Linked DNA regions of Styela clava. The protein of the gene in region 1 interacts with the protein of each later gene in a biochemical or structural test. Links are inferred from orthologs where the notes say so. Each region holds a gene or a part of one and is shown on either strand. Other genes may lie near its edges.

Region 1 (8,358 bases):
TGTTTAAATATTAAACTACTGCATATCATCAATGTGATGCAAATGTTTGATAGCATTCGCACGCACGCAACAACTCGAAAAAGAGAGAATAAGATCTTCAGATTACAAACAAAATACCAGCTGACTCAAGTCTGGACTTGCCCAAGTGTGGCTTTAAGTAAATATGCTTAGGTGTGTGACGTTTGTACGCTTCGTTTGTACGCTTCGATGACTAACACCAAAATTACTTGACGTGCCATGTGACCTACATCAATTGTGTTACAAAGAAACGGGAACTTGCGAGTTGTGATCCAACACGGTCCAAAATATCCTTTCAATAGGTATATTCGATAACAAATAATACTATGATACACGAAAATTATCATTGTCCAATGAGCATTGCAAGATGGTATTGTAATTTCAGTAATGTATAAGATTGCCTTGCTTCTGAGAAATGTTTCGAATGATGTTGTAATATGTAGCAACACAGTTATAAAATTTAATAACAAAAATAGGACAGAATAATAGACAATTTTTATTTGATTTATTATTAAATTATGGCTTCATTGGCAGAAATATCCATTGATTATCTGTTTATGTTAAGTATTTCAAAATTTGAATGTTTCATTCTGAAACCAAATATTCAAAACTTATTAACTGAAATGTTCAAATGTTTCTGCAGAATACAAAATGTTGTGCATAAAAACATGGTGGAAGCAGAACCTTTTGATAAAATTAACTGTCTACTTACAAACTACTTGAGGGAGTATATACTAGTGCATAATATAAAACTAAATATAGCAGGCGGTTGCTGAAAGGCTTATTCAAATTAATCGCTCTGATGAAGTTTGTCTGTATATACATTCAAAATGTTGGCTTGCCATATTGTTCGCTTCTTGCTAGTTGTGCATGCATTGCTATGAACCTAAATAAGTTGTAACAAAAATACACCTACCTTTATCAGAATCGTTTGAGCACTCAGACAGTGAAGTAGATCCGGTTGAATCTCGACGCAGTCTTTCAAATTTTATTTCCAACCGAAATAAAATTTGCTTTAATTGTTCATTATATTTGCCGAGTTTGTCTTTTTCTTTCTCATAACCAACCTCCTTCCCCTCAAGGTCCTAAAATATTAACAAATTTAAAGAATGATAATTTTTCATAATTATTTTATTTAAGATCATCCATACATATTCAAAACTGCTACCAAAAAGCCATAACAACCTTCAGCCTTGCGAAAGTTTTCCCAGCATAAATTAGTCTGTATCTAACTTGAATAATTTCACAGCAAGAGAGTCTATAAATACAGGAAATTACATTTTTATAATATGTACTATCAAAAAGTATTACGAATTAATTCTGAAAATCCAAATTGAAAATATTTCTTCCACCAACCTTAATCAATGAAGTAGCTTTTTTCAACAGTCCTAAGGTAGTGTGCCTGTTTGAGTCAGATCCAAGAGGAACGATTGATTTGAGGTTATCGAGGCAGTTTCGTAGGTGGGCACGTCTAAATTGTGTATCAAAATAATACAATCATATATCACAGAAACAATTAAAACCTTTGCTCAATATTTGAAACATGCCAGGGTGGGGAAGAGCAATTTTAATGAATGCATCAGTTTAGGTCAGTATTTATGAATTTTCATTACCGGTACATGGATAGTCGAGAATGAAGTTACCACAACACAAAATCTTGGTTTAATTAAATAGTCGGATGATAATCCAGCCTATGGGGCTAAAGTAACTCCACTCACCTATTTTTTTCAAGTTCATTATGGGATGTCCTGAAAACAAAAAGAGCATTATAGTACTTCAGAAATACCATGTCAAAAATGTTAAATTGATATAAAAGGATAATTGAATTCATAACTAGAACAAATATCCGTATTCAATATTATTCAAGAGTCTAACAGATTTTTGATCACAATATTCATACCTGCTTTGACTTTTCTTTGAACTTTTCAGTCGTTTTTTAGCCGGTTCATCGTCACCGTATTTAAAAGTTGATGCATATCCATGATCTGATTCTGTATGAAATAAAAAAAAATATTTGTCACCAAAATCAAAATCTTTTTCAATCACAATATGAATCATTATATGGTATGACCCCAAAAACAGAACTCAGAGAAGGAGAGAGAGAAGATAATTCTTATGCAAAGCCTCGTAGATTACTACAACTTTTGGGTACAATCATACACAAACTGAAGTTACGTGTTCAGATTTTAAAATATTTTCGTAGAAGTAATTAAGAAATTTATGGGTTCTGTTTTTTGAGTCACCCTATATAAGGTACGATATTGTTTATCAATGTTCAGACAAAAATATTTTTTAACCAAAATCTTTAGTCAACATGCAATATGCTGAAATACTTATTAAATGCAATATGCTAAATATATTTAAAACCTTGCGATGATCTGAATACAGAGAAATACCTAGAAAGTTGAAAGTTACACCTAAAGTACAGCACACTATCCAAATTCCAAGAATTTCCCTCCATTTGGCTCAATAAAACAAACACTCTATGTGTCTCACAAACGAGGGGCGTCTGGGACCACGTCAGATGCTTCATATCGTGCCATGCTTGTTTCAATAAAAATCTAAATTAATCGAGGCCGTCACATGACCAAAATTGCCGTTTTTTGCTAAAAACTCTCGAATGCTACGGTAGAATTTTTTTTCCTTCTGTAAATCGGATTATTTTTTCCCAAGGAATTCAATGATGACGTTACTAGAGTGCGCTTCTTTGTAGTATTTTGCGCAACTTCATTATACTGCATTATTACCGATATTGAGGGACAACAATGTCCAGACGTCTCCCAAAGAAGGGGTGTCTGATCATCTGTAAAATGGGTTTCTCTGAAACGGGACAATGTCACGCGATTTGTATAGTGTGCTGTACTGTAATGTGAATTATTACATCATGCCATAAACAACTGAGCAACATTTGCTGAATCAATTGACACTTCTGGAATAGTTTGATACGTTACTTAAAACTTGATGAAAGTATTTATTGTAACAACTGCAATAGTCAAAACGCTCTAATGCACGTTGCAATACTGTATCAATGCGTGTATAAAAGTTTTACAACTTTTCTTGACAATACCACCAATATATAGCCTATTATAAATATTGATAATGTATTTGATCAAAACTGAATTTTATTGAGTGCAGAAAAATAGAATGACCGCACTTACTGACTTATGACCTGTGTGAGTGACTTTTATAAACTGGTACATTTTCCAGTTTTATCAGAAATATAGTTATAACTGATATTGATCACACAAGTGTAAAATGCAATACTAGAATATATCACCAACAACAACTTAATGTGCTAATAATCAATGAGAATAAAAAAAGAAAACTGAAAAATATCATCTGATAAAGGTCTGTAATTTCTCGATTTACATATTTAAAATGAATGGTATTGAGGAAAATATGCACAAATTGATTGTCAGTATATTACCTCTTTGCCTTTTACTGTCACATTTCTCTAAATAGTTTGCAGCTTCAATCAATAACTCCAACCCCAGCCCCTTCGTATCGTCATCACTTTCGCTGGTCGGAGATGCATTCATTGATCGCAACATGATTAACAGTCAATATTCTAAGTTACTTGCTTAATAAAATAGTTTCACGTTATTCCACTAATTGTAATCAAATATTTCGTTAAAAATAAATCTGCTATAAATGCTCTAAGGTCGCCCGCTAAACCTCGTCGTGTCAGGTTGTTACCTCTGGGCTAAACACAAAAACAAAGAAATCGTGACGTAAAAACTCGGTAACCAATCAAATTCAAAGCATTTCTTCTCCAGTGAGGCCACATGTCTCGCACGCCTGCGCCTACTTTTCCTTTTAAACGCGTATCGAAGAGGCGGGGTACCGCTGCTAAACAATAGTGGAATAAGAGAGACGCGAGCACAAGGTCGCTATCGCTAAATTTTGAAACCCCTGTCCGCCATTTCCAACAGAAAATCGGCAATGCGGAGCGCGTCGCTCAACACGAAGAAACAAACACGCGACACCCACGCCTCTCTGCGAAATCAGCTGACTGGTGTATGATGATTGTACGTCATATAAGACTCCAATCAGCCTGTGTTGTTGTTCTGTAGACGGCATCCGTCCGCTCCGAGTGTTTTATGGGGTTCCATTACATTTGAACCCACGTACATTTGAACCCATGACAATTGCACCTGTATGCTATTGCACCTATGGAATTTTTTTTGTTTCACGGATAGTTAAACCCATACTAACCCTAACCCATGGGTTTTAGCACCCGCATATAGATTGAACCCGTGGATATACGCATGGGTTCAAATGTACATGGGTTCAAATGTACGGTCACCGTTTTATGGCATACGTTTTCCGCGCTATAAGTGGAGTGTTTGCTTACAAAAAAATTTCACGCAATGGGATGATTTGAGGATTTAATGGAACCGAATCCAATTAGAATACGATTTTCGATTACTATTAATTCCATCAAAGCCAACGCGAAACCCACATTTGTTCAATTCGTTGTACAGCGATGCCTCTAACCTGACAAGAATCAGCATTTTAGCCACGTAGCAACATTTTGTAAGTTCTGTTGGCTTGTTTGATAGTTTCTGATGGCGAATAGTAGGTCATTTACCATCATAAACCGAATTTGGACAATCATGCCGTGAATTCCGATTTATAAAGCCGCCTTTACGCTTATCTTCCCCATCGTGACAACGATGAGTGAAGTTCCAAACGTGCGAAGCCGGCCGAAACGAGATTTTATTTCCCAGATTCATACGCAATAAGAACTGCTAAAGGGATATCACACTACCCTTTCTAAAAATCTAATATTATGGATACGAGAAAGTATCCCACTTCGGGGCGCCGACTACTTACCACTCACTCAAAAGCAAACCCATGCGCATAACCGACATGACGGACGGGTAATTTCACGAAAGCCGTAAACTCGAGTAATTGAAGCACCAAAAAAAACGCATTGTCAAAGGCCCGACTCCAGAAAGATTTCACCTGCAACGTGCGCCTCAAAATAGTTCCCAAGCAAATATGCGTGAAAAAGGCACAATTATTGCTTCAATTATTTCATTCATAAGCTAATACCATACAAGCCATTTAAGATTTAGTCTATTGATTGAAATGCATGTATTCTGATCAAAGTGTCCGCTCTGGGAACAAGCGTTTCGGGAAAAGTGGTACTATACAAAATTCGGAAAATGCGTGAAAATCTCGACAACTGATGCAGATATGCCAGGAACGTGTTAAATAGGGACACTAACAATTTATATTGCAATTGGAAGGCATATTTTCAAAGTCTGCTCAATACTCTTCTTCTTCAGCGCTGCCGTCAGCCGCAGAATCGACACCAACCTCTTCATAGTCTTTTTCCAGGGCAGCAAGGTCTTCGCGAGCTTCTGAAAATTCTCCTTCCTCCATGCCCTCGCCGACGTACCTTCGAAACGAAACTTCATTTATTATCGCATTTCAATCTTAAAAACTGGTTATGAATTGACGTTTCAAAGTTTGCATGAATGAAATTCGGGGAAAAAATACTAAATTGAAAATATCCGCCTTCGTGTTTGAAAAAATCTACATCCTACCTACAAACGTGCATAAATTTCCTACCAGTGAACAAATGCTCGTTTTGCATACATCAAGTCGAACTTGTGATCCAGACGTGCCCAAGCGTCAGCGATGGCAGTCGTATTGCTGAGCATGCAAACTGCACGCTGTACTTTTGCCAAGTCGCCACCCGGGACGACAGTCGGAGGCTGGTAGTTTATGCCCACCTTGAAGCCAGTTGGACACCAGTCGACGAACTAAAATATAAAAAAGATTAATATCTAGCTACCACTTATTCGCAACACACTTGACATACCTGCACCGTGCGTTTAGACTTGATATTGGCTATTGCTGCATTCACGTCTTTCGGAACAACATCACCTCGGTAAAGCATGCAGCAAGCCATATATTTTCCATGGCGAGGATCACATTTAACCATCTGGTTAGCATGGTCAAAGCAAGCGTTTGTGATTTCTGCTACTGAGAGCTGTTCGTGGTACGCCTTCTCAGCCGATATCACAGGGGCGTATGTAACTAGAGGAAAATGGATTCGTGGATATGGCACTAAGTTAGTCTGAAATTCTGTCAGATCTACGTTGAGTGCGCCATCAAATCTCAATGATGCAGTGATAGAAGACACAATTTGGCCGACCAGTCTGTTCAGATTGGTGTAGCTTGGGCGGTCAATGTCCAGATTACGTCGACATATATCATAGATGGCTTCATTGTCGACCATGAAAGCGCAATCTGAATGTTCCAGAGTTGTGTGAGTGGTCAGAATAGAATTGTATGGTTCAACAACAGCGGTCGAAACCTTGGAAAACATAAAAAAATTATATTGGGCACTGCCCCTTGAAACACCCAAATCCAATAAGCCTACTAATTAAAGGCCAGGAAAAAAGCCGACCTGATAACGCTTTTGTCACATTGATAGATCTTACCTGGGGAGCGGGGTAGACAGCAAATTCTAGCTTCGACTTTTTACCGTAGTCTACAGAGAGTCTCTCCATCAATAAGGAGGCAAATCCTGACCCAGTTCCGCCGCCAAACGAATGGAAAATGAGAAATCCTTGTAAACCGGTGCACTGATCAGTGAGCTTTCGAATTCGATCCAAAACGGAATCAACCAGTTCTTTGCCTAAAAATTCTCGAAAAGTTAATAATCGTCAAAAAAAAATACTCTCTAGATGAGACTACCTACCGATGGTGTAATGTCCACGCGCGTAATTGTTCGCTGCATCTTCCTTCCCAGTAATCAGTTGTTCAGGATGGAACAGTTGTCGATACTTGCCGGAACGGATTTCGTCTGTAATGGTTAGGTTATTAGACACGGATTGTATGTTTTAAATCAAGTTATCTTTTATATTTTATCATTTTACCTACAACAGTTGGTTCCAAGTCCACAAACACTGCTCTCGGGACATACTTTCCAGACCCCGTCTCGCTGAAAAAAGTGTTGAACGAATCGTCGGCCCTGCATTCTTTGGTGGGATCAGAACGTGCTGGTATGTTACCATCTGGTTCTATACCATGTTCCAGACAATAAAGCTCCCAGCATGCATTTCCAATTTGAACTCCGGCTTGTCCAACGTGAATTGAAATACACTCGCGCTGTAATACAAATTCACTCCTGACAATGATAGGAACTATGGCCTTATATGGTATGTCGTAAAGAGGCTTTGGGAATTTTTAAATTTCGACGTGTTACGAACCACCGTGCCTTCCACGCCCGCGCCAGACAGTTAAAAAATCAATAAACTAGTTGTACATTATTTCACCTCAAACATTCCTTTCAGCAGCTTTGGCTAGTGAAATAAACCCACATAAAAATCCCACATGTTTCGCTCATCTAGCTGACTTTTTGCATCAGTAGCGATTAGTAACTATAATACTCACCATCTTCCGATAACCTTTCAACAACGAACGAAAATAAAACTAAACAGATCCGCGAACGGGGTTAGACGCTCGACGTGGCAAGAGGAGATGCGTTTGACAAAACTGTTCTTATATCGGACAGCGAACAACAAGTGATTAGTGCTCAGACAAAATAGTGATGTTGTTTATCAGTAATGATTACTGCCAAGCAGATGGCTTTCTTCCGAATGTGGCCAAACTTTCATACTTATCCTACACAGTATGTTTATACGGATGTATCTGATGTAACATGGGGGTGTTCAATATATTTATGGCACAATCGAAATAGAATTTCAAGGCTAACATAGATATACTCTTTTGAGTTGAGTAATGAGTTTATGTATCACCAGTATTTCTTAAACGTGTTCGATCGAATCCTTGGGGTGCGGTGAAGATGTTCGAAGAAGGTCCGATGAAACAGTTTTCTATCATGGAGTTTCGTATGAAACAGCATTTTAATTGTGTGAAATTTAATCGCATGTGTTCAGACTTTCGTGTTTAAACGGTGACGGCACATTTGAACCCACGTAAATTTGCACCCGTATATCCGCGGGTTCAATGCAATCTATATGCGGGTGCTAAAAGTTCAAATATCCGTAGATGCAAATTTCCATATGTGCAATAGTATGCACCTAGGTGCAATTGTTGTGGGTTCGGGTTAGTATGGGTTCAAATATCCGTAGATGCAAGTTTCCATAGGTGCAATTGTCGTGGGTTCAAATGTAATGGAACCGTTTAAACAACTCATAAAATAGCTGTCTCTCCATGTTCAGTATGCACAGCAGGTATAAATTTATCTGGACGATTTTACTTAAATCCCAGTACACTTGTTTCGTCACGGATATCGCACACTTGGAGTACTTCTGTGTGATATCGTTTTAGGCTGTGTTTGCAATTGGCTTCGAAATA
Region 2 (9,124 bases), on another chromosome or scaffold:
CATAATACCAGTTCAAATAGTACCTGATTTAAACGTATGCATTATGTTAATGACGTTTCACAAGGAAGGCGATATGTGTTTTTCATCGGCTCATAGTGCTAAGCGTTATTAATACGCCCGCCACCGCACATCTGATTACTCTGCGTGGGTTCGCAGGTTTGACTTTTAATCCCATGTGCGGATGGTCCTATCCTAAATCCGACAAAATTATTTCACGAAAGTCAGACCGTTTCCCTCAGTACTGTATAAGAATGTCACAATTATTTCCTGCTGATTTCTCAAGCTCATTTGCTGCTAAAATCGAATAAAGAAAACTGGCAAGCGGCAAATTGGCACTCGTTCACAAAGTACTCCGTCTGTCAGATCTAAACATAGCGTTTATAAAATCACCTCATGATCTGCTTAATAAAGACGAACCCATAGCATAACGACCATGGGCCCCAAATTATAATAATACATCAAATTTATTAATATAAATACATAAAAGATCAAAAAATACAGGATTGTATGCTAGAATTCAATGAAGCGAAGCGGTACAAAAGGATGTACAGGTCAGCAACTATTTGAGCTGAACTAAAAAGTAAATGTGCAATGGAAGAGAAGAACAGAAATCAGGATAGAATGCACCTCACAGTTTATTATAATGGGCGTTGAGGCAAGTTCATGATGATTGTTGTTGAGCACTTTCATCAGAATCTAATTCACTTGTGTCTCCATTTTGTTCAAATTGTCTACTTGAGTTTTCAAGTTCTCGAACTGAAAACATATCAATATATCAATTGCAATTTACAAAAATATTATGTGTTGGAAATTGCAAATTTTCACAAGAAATAATTAAGAATTCAACAACAGTCGGTCCCTTTCTAAGTGAGATACCCACAACCATTGAAACTGATCTCATTTTAAAAGTTTGCATAAGACCAACAGCGAATTTAATATATATACCGGTATATGCCTAACGGAAATACTCATTTTCAACACTTACTTTGTTGCTCTAATAGCCTGTTTTGCCGCTTTAAATCATCTATATCTTGTTGATGAGTTACATTTTTCCTTTTCATGAGTTGAATATAGTCTGTGGCTTTATTTAAAATTTGTGCTCTTGATGACTGTAAAACGAGAATATCGGTCAGAGACCAAAGACTTATCGATCGAAAGTTAGGGGATCCCCGAAACAGCACTCTTACTCCATAGTGACACCTTGTGTCCCATCACTAATTAATTAATAACTCGCTAATTATACAACATAATTCGCCCAAAATCAATAGGCTTCTGGTCGTGAGATATCGCTGGTATCTAACAGACATACAGACAGACAGACAAATACCTATCAACATACTTACCGATTAAAATCGATAAGTAACAAAGCTCATAAGTATTTGTCTAAAACTGATTATCCACATAATATTGATTACAATTTAGAAGTCACCTTTTCACCCTCTAATGATGGTACAGAATCACGAAGTCCATTAAAACTTTCTTTTATATGATCTCTTCTTTTTCTTTCTAAAGCATTATGATGAGCTCTTTTGTTGGACTTAATTGATAAAAAAAGTTTGTTATAGTGTACATTCACTGAATTACATTAAAGTGGCAACCAAACTTATTGCTCTTATCTAAAGACAATTTTCAAATCTATGGCTAATTCATAAAAACTGTTCAAAACGAATTGATATTTTTGTGAAAACCTATTGGAAATCGAATTCGATAAAAGGATCGAAATCGATAAAAGGATAATTGTCCATCAGCGAGTCGAGAAAGAGATATTAACAAAGCTAACTTTGACTCACCTACCAAAATAAAAAACGACGAATGTAAATAAAGGGTTGAAAACAGTGTGCAAGGTGCGGCGGTGTGGCTCATCGTGCTAAGCGTTTGGAATACGCTCGCCACCGCACCTCTAATTACTCTGCGTGGGTTCGCAGGTTCGAATCCCATGCGGGATGGTTATGTGCGAGAGGATTGCTGGACTCCTCGCCGCCGTTGGGTGGTTCCATGGAATGGTAACCGAACGAGGGGCCGTGGTTCGCCATATGGTTAAGCCGTCTTATCAGCTTTCCTCTCCCCCGGGATAAATATGTAAATCTTTTCTTATCTATCTTTTCTTAGTGTGCATGGAGAAAAAACAACTTATTGTCAATTAAACATAAACACAATATTTCTGAATAATTTGTATAGGGTGTCCAAAAAGTTTTGCCCTATTATAAAGTTTTTATAACCATTTTTTTTTTTAATTATAGAAATGATTTATAGTCAACCTGTATCTAATTGGATGTTATAAATGTTGGATTTTGTAGTCCCCATTTAGCATAAAACAAAATTTATTCAAATTTGCAATTGAGGTTGCTATGAAATCGGGCGAAACTTTTTGGACACCCTGTATGACAGAAATCAAAAAATGAACAGAGAGAAAGTATCTACATACAGGGATAATATTGTTGTTAGATAGATTGTTGTTTATTAAAGCTGAATCTGCTTTTTGTATATAAAATTGATAATACAGAGTACAGATTTCCCTTCAATTGAAATTAAGTATGCAAATATTGGGGCAAACACCATGGCAGCGAGAACATTGTGAAATAAGTTACATATTTAGGCAAACATTGCATATGAAATGTAACAGAGATGATTCATGTCAGCATGGGGGCATTTATTTGCTCTTCATTTTATCTGCATGTCAATAGTACAACCACCCTGTAACACACTTTCGTAACAAACAAAAAACATCTCTGTAAACTCACAGTTCCCATAGCTGGACTTTCACGATCTTCATCCTGAAACAAATTGTTGCTGTGTTTTATTTTTTGCAGTCAAAAGATATTTTTAAAACTTTAATTTTGAAATTGTTTGAAGTGAAGTATACAGTTAATGTCACAATTTCATTCTTCTATCATTTGAAAGCTTTGAGACTCTGCTGTGAGTCGGTACAGGGTAACCCAAAAACAGAACCTAGGTCATTTGGAACACATTCAGACATTCTAGAGAAAACAACTTTTGTGTAAAAATAATCCAGATTGCTGGAACTTTTAGATAAAATTATACACAAACAGAACTTCATTTTTGTAGAATGATCAAGAACTTTATGGATACTATTTTTTTTGTTACCCAAGGAGTTTGATTAGAAGCATTTCATCATGCAGAGCATATAATCTGTCAATCATACATTACAAATACTTTCTCATTACCTCACTTTCAACATCAATATCCACATCATTCATTTCATCATACGATTTTGTGTATTGGTGATCCAGCTTGCTAGTTGGTATTGCCAAAAGATGGAAATAATAATCCTGTTACCACAGATCCATGAAATAAAATACTAAAATGCAGCTTATGATCGGATCAGAATATGATATTAAGTATCGATGCTTTTGTGAAAGCAATCCAAATAAACAAGATATTAATAGCTTTTTATATGGATAAGTAAAAAAAGCGAGGTTACTTCAACACGCACTTGGCACAACAGAGATGCCATGGTCAAATTCATCCGCATAATGTTTTTTATTACAGCTCCTCTCCGACCATGACATTGATCTTTTTAACGAAATTACAAAACTGGTGTTCAACGATACGAATTATGAAAAGAAACAAAATTCTCAAAAACAAGTGAGCATAACTTTTTGATGGAACAATTTAAATTGCTGTTGATGAAAAGTGATGGACAACAGAGCATACTATGGCAGTATAGAGTATCCGTAATAAATAATATACACAATTCATATTATAATCAGGAAAATATAACAACTAAGTTTCCAAATTGAATAAAAAGAGGCTGACAGACCATTGAAAGATATTACAGTGGAAGGGACTCAATTTGGTATCTGATATCTTTTCCCACAAATTTGTGAACAAGCAGATTTTTGGATTGCTAAAATCCTAGAACTGCAGTAACGCAGCTGTAGCTGCTGTTTTTTCAGTAATATCAAAAAACCTAATTGCAATACACTAAATACATGAGACTCATTTGTTCACTCAAGATCTGAAGATTGCATTAGGAACACACTACAGACTGACAGAGTCTTGCATCAAACAACAATATTCCAGCAGTTCAATGATAAATACTGAAATATATATACCGTTACAACTATTACTCTTTTTCTATACACAGTCGGTTATTTTGAAGAAAACATAATTCAGGAGTACACCATACAAACTTTACTTGAAGTAGTTCGATACTAATAACTACAAAACTATCTAAAATGTCATTGAGTTCTGGAATTCAGAAAAGATATACTGGTACCCTATTCTCGCTTTTTAAGCGCATGATGTTATGACATTTGCAACTATTTTTCTGATGACAGTTCAGCAGTTAGGGTAATTCAGTCCGTAGATGTTCGTTTCAAAAAAAACTAGAATCAGTTTATTCAAACCACCTTGGTCACACAAAGCGAAATATCAGAAAAATTTCTCTTTTCTCTCAACTCAATTCTGTAATTCTGTTTTTTTACCTTTATTCAGATCTTCCCAGTAATAAACAATAGGAATAGAATAATTTGAACTATTTATACATTCAAAATCGAGTCGAGTAGCCTAGTTGGTTAAAATTAAAATAAGAATGCTAACAATCAGACAATGGTTTCACCTGTTCACCGACAGACCCGAGACGTTTGGAGGGGTTCGATTCTGCTGTAATAATTTACTACAGTACCGGTACTAGAATATGAACCCCTTCAACACAACAGCTTGTCTATATAAGATATTTCCCATGTATTGCGAAATTTAAGATGACGATAAAACGGGAACCAACACCGAGACTAAAGGAAAGCCAAACAAAGCAAACGACTTATGAAAACTACGGTATTCGCTGAAGTCTCACGCCTAATACACCTAATACACGTGCCCTCCTATTTCATTTTCACAACAACCTCACTTCTCTCACTTCTGTGTAACGGAGCGGTCTGATTGGTTGCGAATCAGTTAACTTCCGCGCTGTGAAAGCAGGTAGGGACAATAAAGAAACAATGTTTAAAGCGCGCCTCGGTATAAACTCGGTGGTCAACGCCTCACTATGGGTTACCGCTGGTCACTCGGTGGGTCACGTGTCCGACTGAGTTGGCCGGAGGCCGTGAGCTTTCTTGCAATTAATTTGGTATATAGTAAACCATGTCGATCATACCGCGAGCTGGACTAGTGGACTAGTCGGCTTGTAAAAATTATATGGGCGATATTATTGCCAAATACGTTTTAGTTAAAGCTATACGTGTTATACCAGTGCATTTACTTCTGTCGAAACTGGAATTGGTTCAAGCCGCAAGAATTGTCTTCCAACAACGCACTGCGTTGACGCAATGCGTTAACGCAGCAACGCACGATTAAGTTAAATAAACAAGGTTTTAAGGTGCGTCAACGCAATGGTGTGAACATATGTGAACGGGCCCTCATGCGCTGAACCCACGTGTTTTGTTTGCTTTTAATGGTCTTGTTTTGCAACTAATACTTCACTTTCGGGTTCGATTGATATCATTTATATGTACCTGTGCAAATACGAACATTGCGTTCATATTCAAGAAATTGATATTTGCTAATAAAGTGAAAGATCGAAGATTTTTATTTCTTTTCAAGTTTTTTTTCCTCGGTAATACACGCGATGTATACTTTTTTGCATATCTGTTAATCTTGCTAGCCATCCGTGCATGTATTTTATTCAACATATATTTATGCAAATACGGAATTGTATTGCAGTTTTTTTTTTTATTTTCTTCGTAACGTGCAGTAAAGAAGACTTCATTTTTTGGCGCTACCATACATGAAACGCAGAACTTGGCATGAAATTTCCGCGCTGTCAGGATACGTGAATATATACAGAATATGTCCAAATCAAGATGAGACCAAACAGGCTAAATGTAGATGAATGCTTTATTACTTTCTTTCGACATTGAAGGGAGGGAAAGCAGAGACAGTTCAGTTCATCAAAATTATTATGTTTGGGGGTCGCGGTACTAAAAGAGTAAATACCAAAGCAATCAAATATATGAACCGTTTTGATAGGTTTAAAGATGGAGTAACGAGGAACCCCTGAAGAAATGGAGAGCGCTTATCTGTTAATCTGATGGGCATGATGGAATTTAAATGGCGAGCTCATGTTTTCCCGTTATGACGCAATAAAGTATCTAAACACATGTTTTGCGTTTCTACTCGTCATAATGTTACCCAAACAGCTGATTACGGATAGCATCTTACCTGGTAACAGCGACAGGCGAAGCAACTTGATCGAGGGACAAATTATATTGCAAAATGGTACGGTGATTTTGATTATATTATTATGTATTTCAAATAATCTTCTTAATTGTCTAAAGTTCTGTATGGATTCACCCTTTTTGCAATGAAATTCCAACTGTTTTCAAAGTTTACGGAAGTTGTCTGAATGATTTCAGGTGCAAATACTGTTTACTATTTATAATTTTGAGCTGAATTAAGTGGGTCTTACTATTTAGCAATGTAGGTGAAATGATGCAGCTTATATAAAATGTGCATTATTATTAAACTATTATATTGTTTTTTTGCTAATGGAATCCGGTCATTTGCAAGACTCGACCAAGTCAAGTTCCAAAAACAATTTCAGACTAGAATTATTATCAATTATTTGGGTGCACAATTTAATGTATTGAGTTTTCATCCCATTTGGTTATATTTTTCTATCAATGAGGTTCAAAAGCGTAACTTTCTTTAGTGACGTAATGTCTTTATACTATTTTTGAGGTCGGAGGAGTGTCTATGAATACTGCTAGTATTGAACACCACTTGAGAGAAATAGGATTCAAGTTCAACGATTGGTATTCTTTTCTGGATCTTGATAATTTTGATTCGGACCATCTTGTTGAAAATCTAACTACTGAAGTAAGATTGCTGTTCGTTTTGTCAAAAATCCTTCTGTATATTGTATTGTTTTATAGCTTTTTGTTTAAAACTTATAAATCTGAAATGAGGAAAGTGACTTCGCACATCTGTAAGAATGCTGTAACATCATCTGTGAGGTGAACGCTAGTGCCGTTTAGTCGAATTATAGGCATCTACGAGTAAAATCCTACCGCTGAACATGGTTGTTGCACGAACACGAATAAGCTCGGCCTTGCACTACGATAAATAAGGTTGTCTAGCGTCACTTGCGTTGAGGATATTTACTACGTTTTTTTTAAAGTGTCTTCCCAATACTTCCAGGGAAATGACGATCGACCATTTCTTTGGAGTAATGGTGAATTTATTGAAAAGTGCAACAACGGGGAAATTTGCATCATAGGTAGGTTTGCAGTATTTTAATTTTTCAGCAGATGCGGTTAATAATTCCATTAGATGCGAGGATCTTTAAAATGATAAGCAGAGATGTGGGAAACACAAATAAATGAACAGACTGCCCACATTTAACTAAAATAGAGAAATAGCGGCTCCTGATGTACTATAGCCCTTTGCTTGGATATACAATAATCCTCACGAAAAAGAGGCAACACCTACCTTGGCTTAAGCTATATACCTGTTGAATGAATAGTTCTGATGGAAATAAGTAAAAAATACGCAAAATAAAATTAATTATCAATGTTCTTTAGCATTGAGACAAGCTGAATCATTGTTTAACTTGAGTCAGTTGATGTTTGCTCTTTATCACGGATCGCTACAAGCTTGTACTTTCTTGGATTTGCAGAAAAGCAGACCTCCTCGCGATATTCGACAGCGTGGATTCACTAAACTTGGTAATTCATCCATTTCAGCAATAATATTGACCTATAGTCCAGGGATGGCGAACCACTGACCCGCGAGTCACAAAGTGACCCACCGCGTTTTATTTGTGACCCGCCAAGCGAAGGCACAAATAAAATAAATGCTAACATATCAGTGATAAAAATTGATGAAACCGGCCTTAAATTAATCTAACAATAACTAAACTATTATAATGTACCGTCAGTTGGACAGTCAGGGCTGCGATAGCTCAAATTCAAAATGTTGATTTTTGAGCCGGTATGGTAATTTTCAAAACCCCTAATCTTGGACGCATATATGCACTGTTGTATACCGTTATTCAGCTATTGGGCCTGACATCGTTTATGACATAACACTACAATTGATCTGTTCATTTCTCGCAAGGCTTGTCTTATTCGGAAGTGCATCTGCAGACTGTTTTAGGGGTTATACGAGAACTGGATGCCTCTTTGCATTTTATTAGTTTCTCGCCTACAATGCCGCTGAGAAAACAAAATCTTCCAGAAAGAAAAATCTATAAATCTGATATAACAATGGCAATGGCCTTAATGTGGTTGGACGCTGATCCAAAATTTTACCACTATCAAAGCGGAATTACCTCCAAACACTAGAACTGTAAAATAATTTAACGCATCATCCTAAACGTTTTTGGTAATTGCGTTTTTTTCGTACTCTAATATCATTAGAACCGAGTGCCATAAAGGGCCTGATAGAAGTGCTGCATAAGTAAAGCCCAAAACTATACCAACACCAGCTTATAAGATTTGTTTCAGAAGTTTCTTATAGATACAAACGTGAATTAAATATCTGTGACCAACTCTCTTCTATTCCGCGATAAAATTATAATTTTTGACCCATTCATTGAAAAAGGTTCGCCATCCCTGGGCCCTATACTATGTTGTTTTCTGATCGTGCAATTTGTTATTTATCTTGGAAAGTTTTTTCTATGTCTGATAGGTTGATAATTGTTACGTCTAACTGTCAATCGATGATAGTTCTTGTTCATTTATCTTATATAGATAATTGACGCTCTCGAAGTATGTGCACCAAGATGGCGCACAATCTGAACGCTTTTAGGTTGCGCGCCATCTTGGTGCACATACTTATGGATATGTAGGTCCAGATAATTTGCGTAGTTATTAAAAGCTTCTTTTTTTTAATAAACATGGTGATCTGTTTGAAATCATGAAAAAGATTTTACAGTTTAAAATCGTTTTTTTAATCGCTCGAATAACAAGTAATAAATCTTTTCAGAAAATTGCAATACAAAATCTGGAACAACTTTTCGCCGTGTATTGCATGGGCTATGTTGGGAAATTGTAGAGCAAGGTGGCCTTCCTGTTATATTTTCTATGATCCAGGTTGGTATATGGTCTTTTTAAAAAAAATTACGATGTCTTCATGATTCATATTTGTCCGTCATTTGATTTAC

The links.
Region 2: the proteins of max dimerization protein 1-like (region 1) and protein max-like form a complex in vitro, tested with the Homo sapiens proteins (4 studies listed by BioGRID, with this or other methods). The link is inferred for Styela clava from reciprocal best matches to the Homo sapiens genes MXD1 and MAX.

Annotation. Positions count from the first base shown.
Region 1 is NC_135257.1:12,298,198-12,306,555, reverse strand, and holds the start of max dimerization protein 1-like, read right to left. Parts: upstream 4,101-8,358; 5' UTR 3,570-4,100; coding exon 3,446-3,569; intron 2,010-3,445; coding exon 1,919-2,009; intron 1,767-1,918; coding exon 1,737-1,766; intron 1,490-1,736; coding exon 1,375-1,489; intron 1,104-1,374; coding exon 935-1,103; intron 1-934. Other genes in the region: tubulin alpha chain, testis-specific-like, read right to left, coding at 5,293-5,425, 5,599-5,792, 5,852-6,349, 6,477-6,673, 6,737-6,841, 6,915-7,146, 7,432-7,434. UniProt on the Homo sapiens protein: Component of a transcriptional repressor complex together with MAX. In complex with MAX binds to the core DNA sequence 5'-CAC[GA]TG-3'. Antagonizes MYC transcriptional activity by competing with MYC for MAX binding.
Region 2 is NC_135255.1:8,056,063-8,065,186, reverse strand, and holds protein max-like, read right to left. Parts: upstream 3,420-9,124; 5' UTR 3,219-3,419; coding exon 3,186-3,218; intron 2,775-3,185; coding exon 2,742-2,774; intron 1,538-2,741; coding exon 1,430-1,537; intron 1,110-1,429; coding exon 986-1,109; intron 757-985; coding exon 662-756; 3' UTR 446-661; downstream 1-445. Other genes in the region: uncharacterized protein LOC120330631, read left to right, coding at 6,235-6,237, 6,700-6,837, 7,159-7,237, 7,542-7,685, 8,947-9,053. UniProt on the Homo sapiens protein: Transcription regulator. Forms a sequence-specific DNA-binding protein complex with MYC or MAD which recognizes the core sequence 5'-CAC[GA]TG-3'. The MYC:MAX complex is a transcriptional activator, whereas the MAD:MAX complex is a repressor.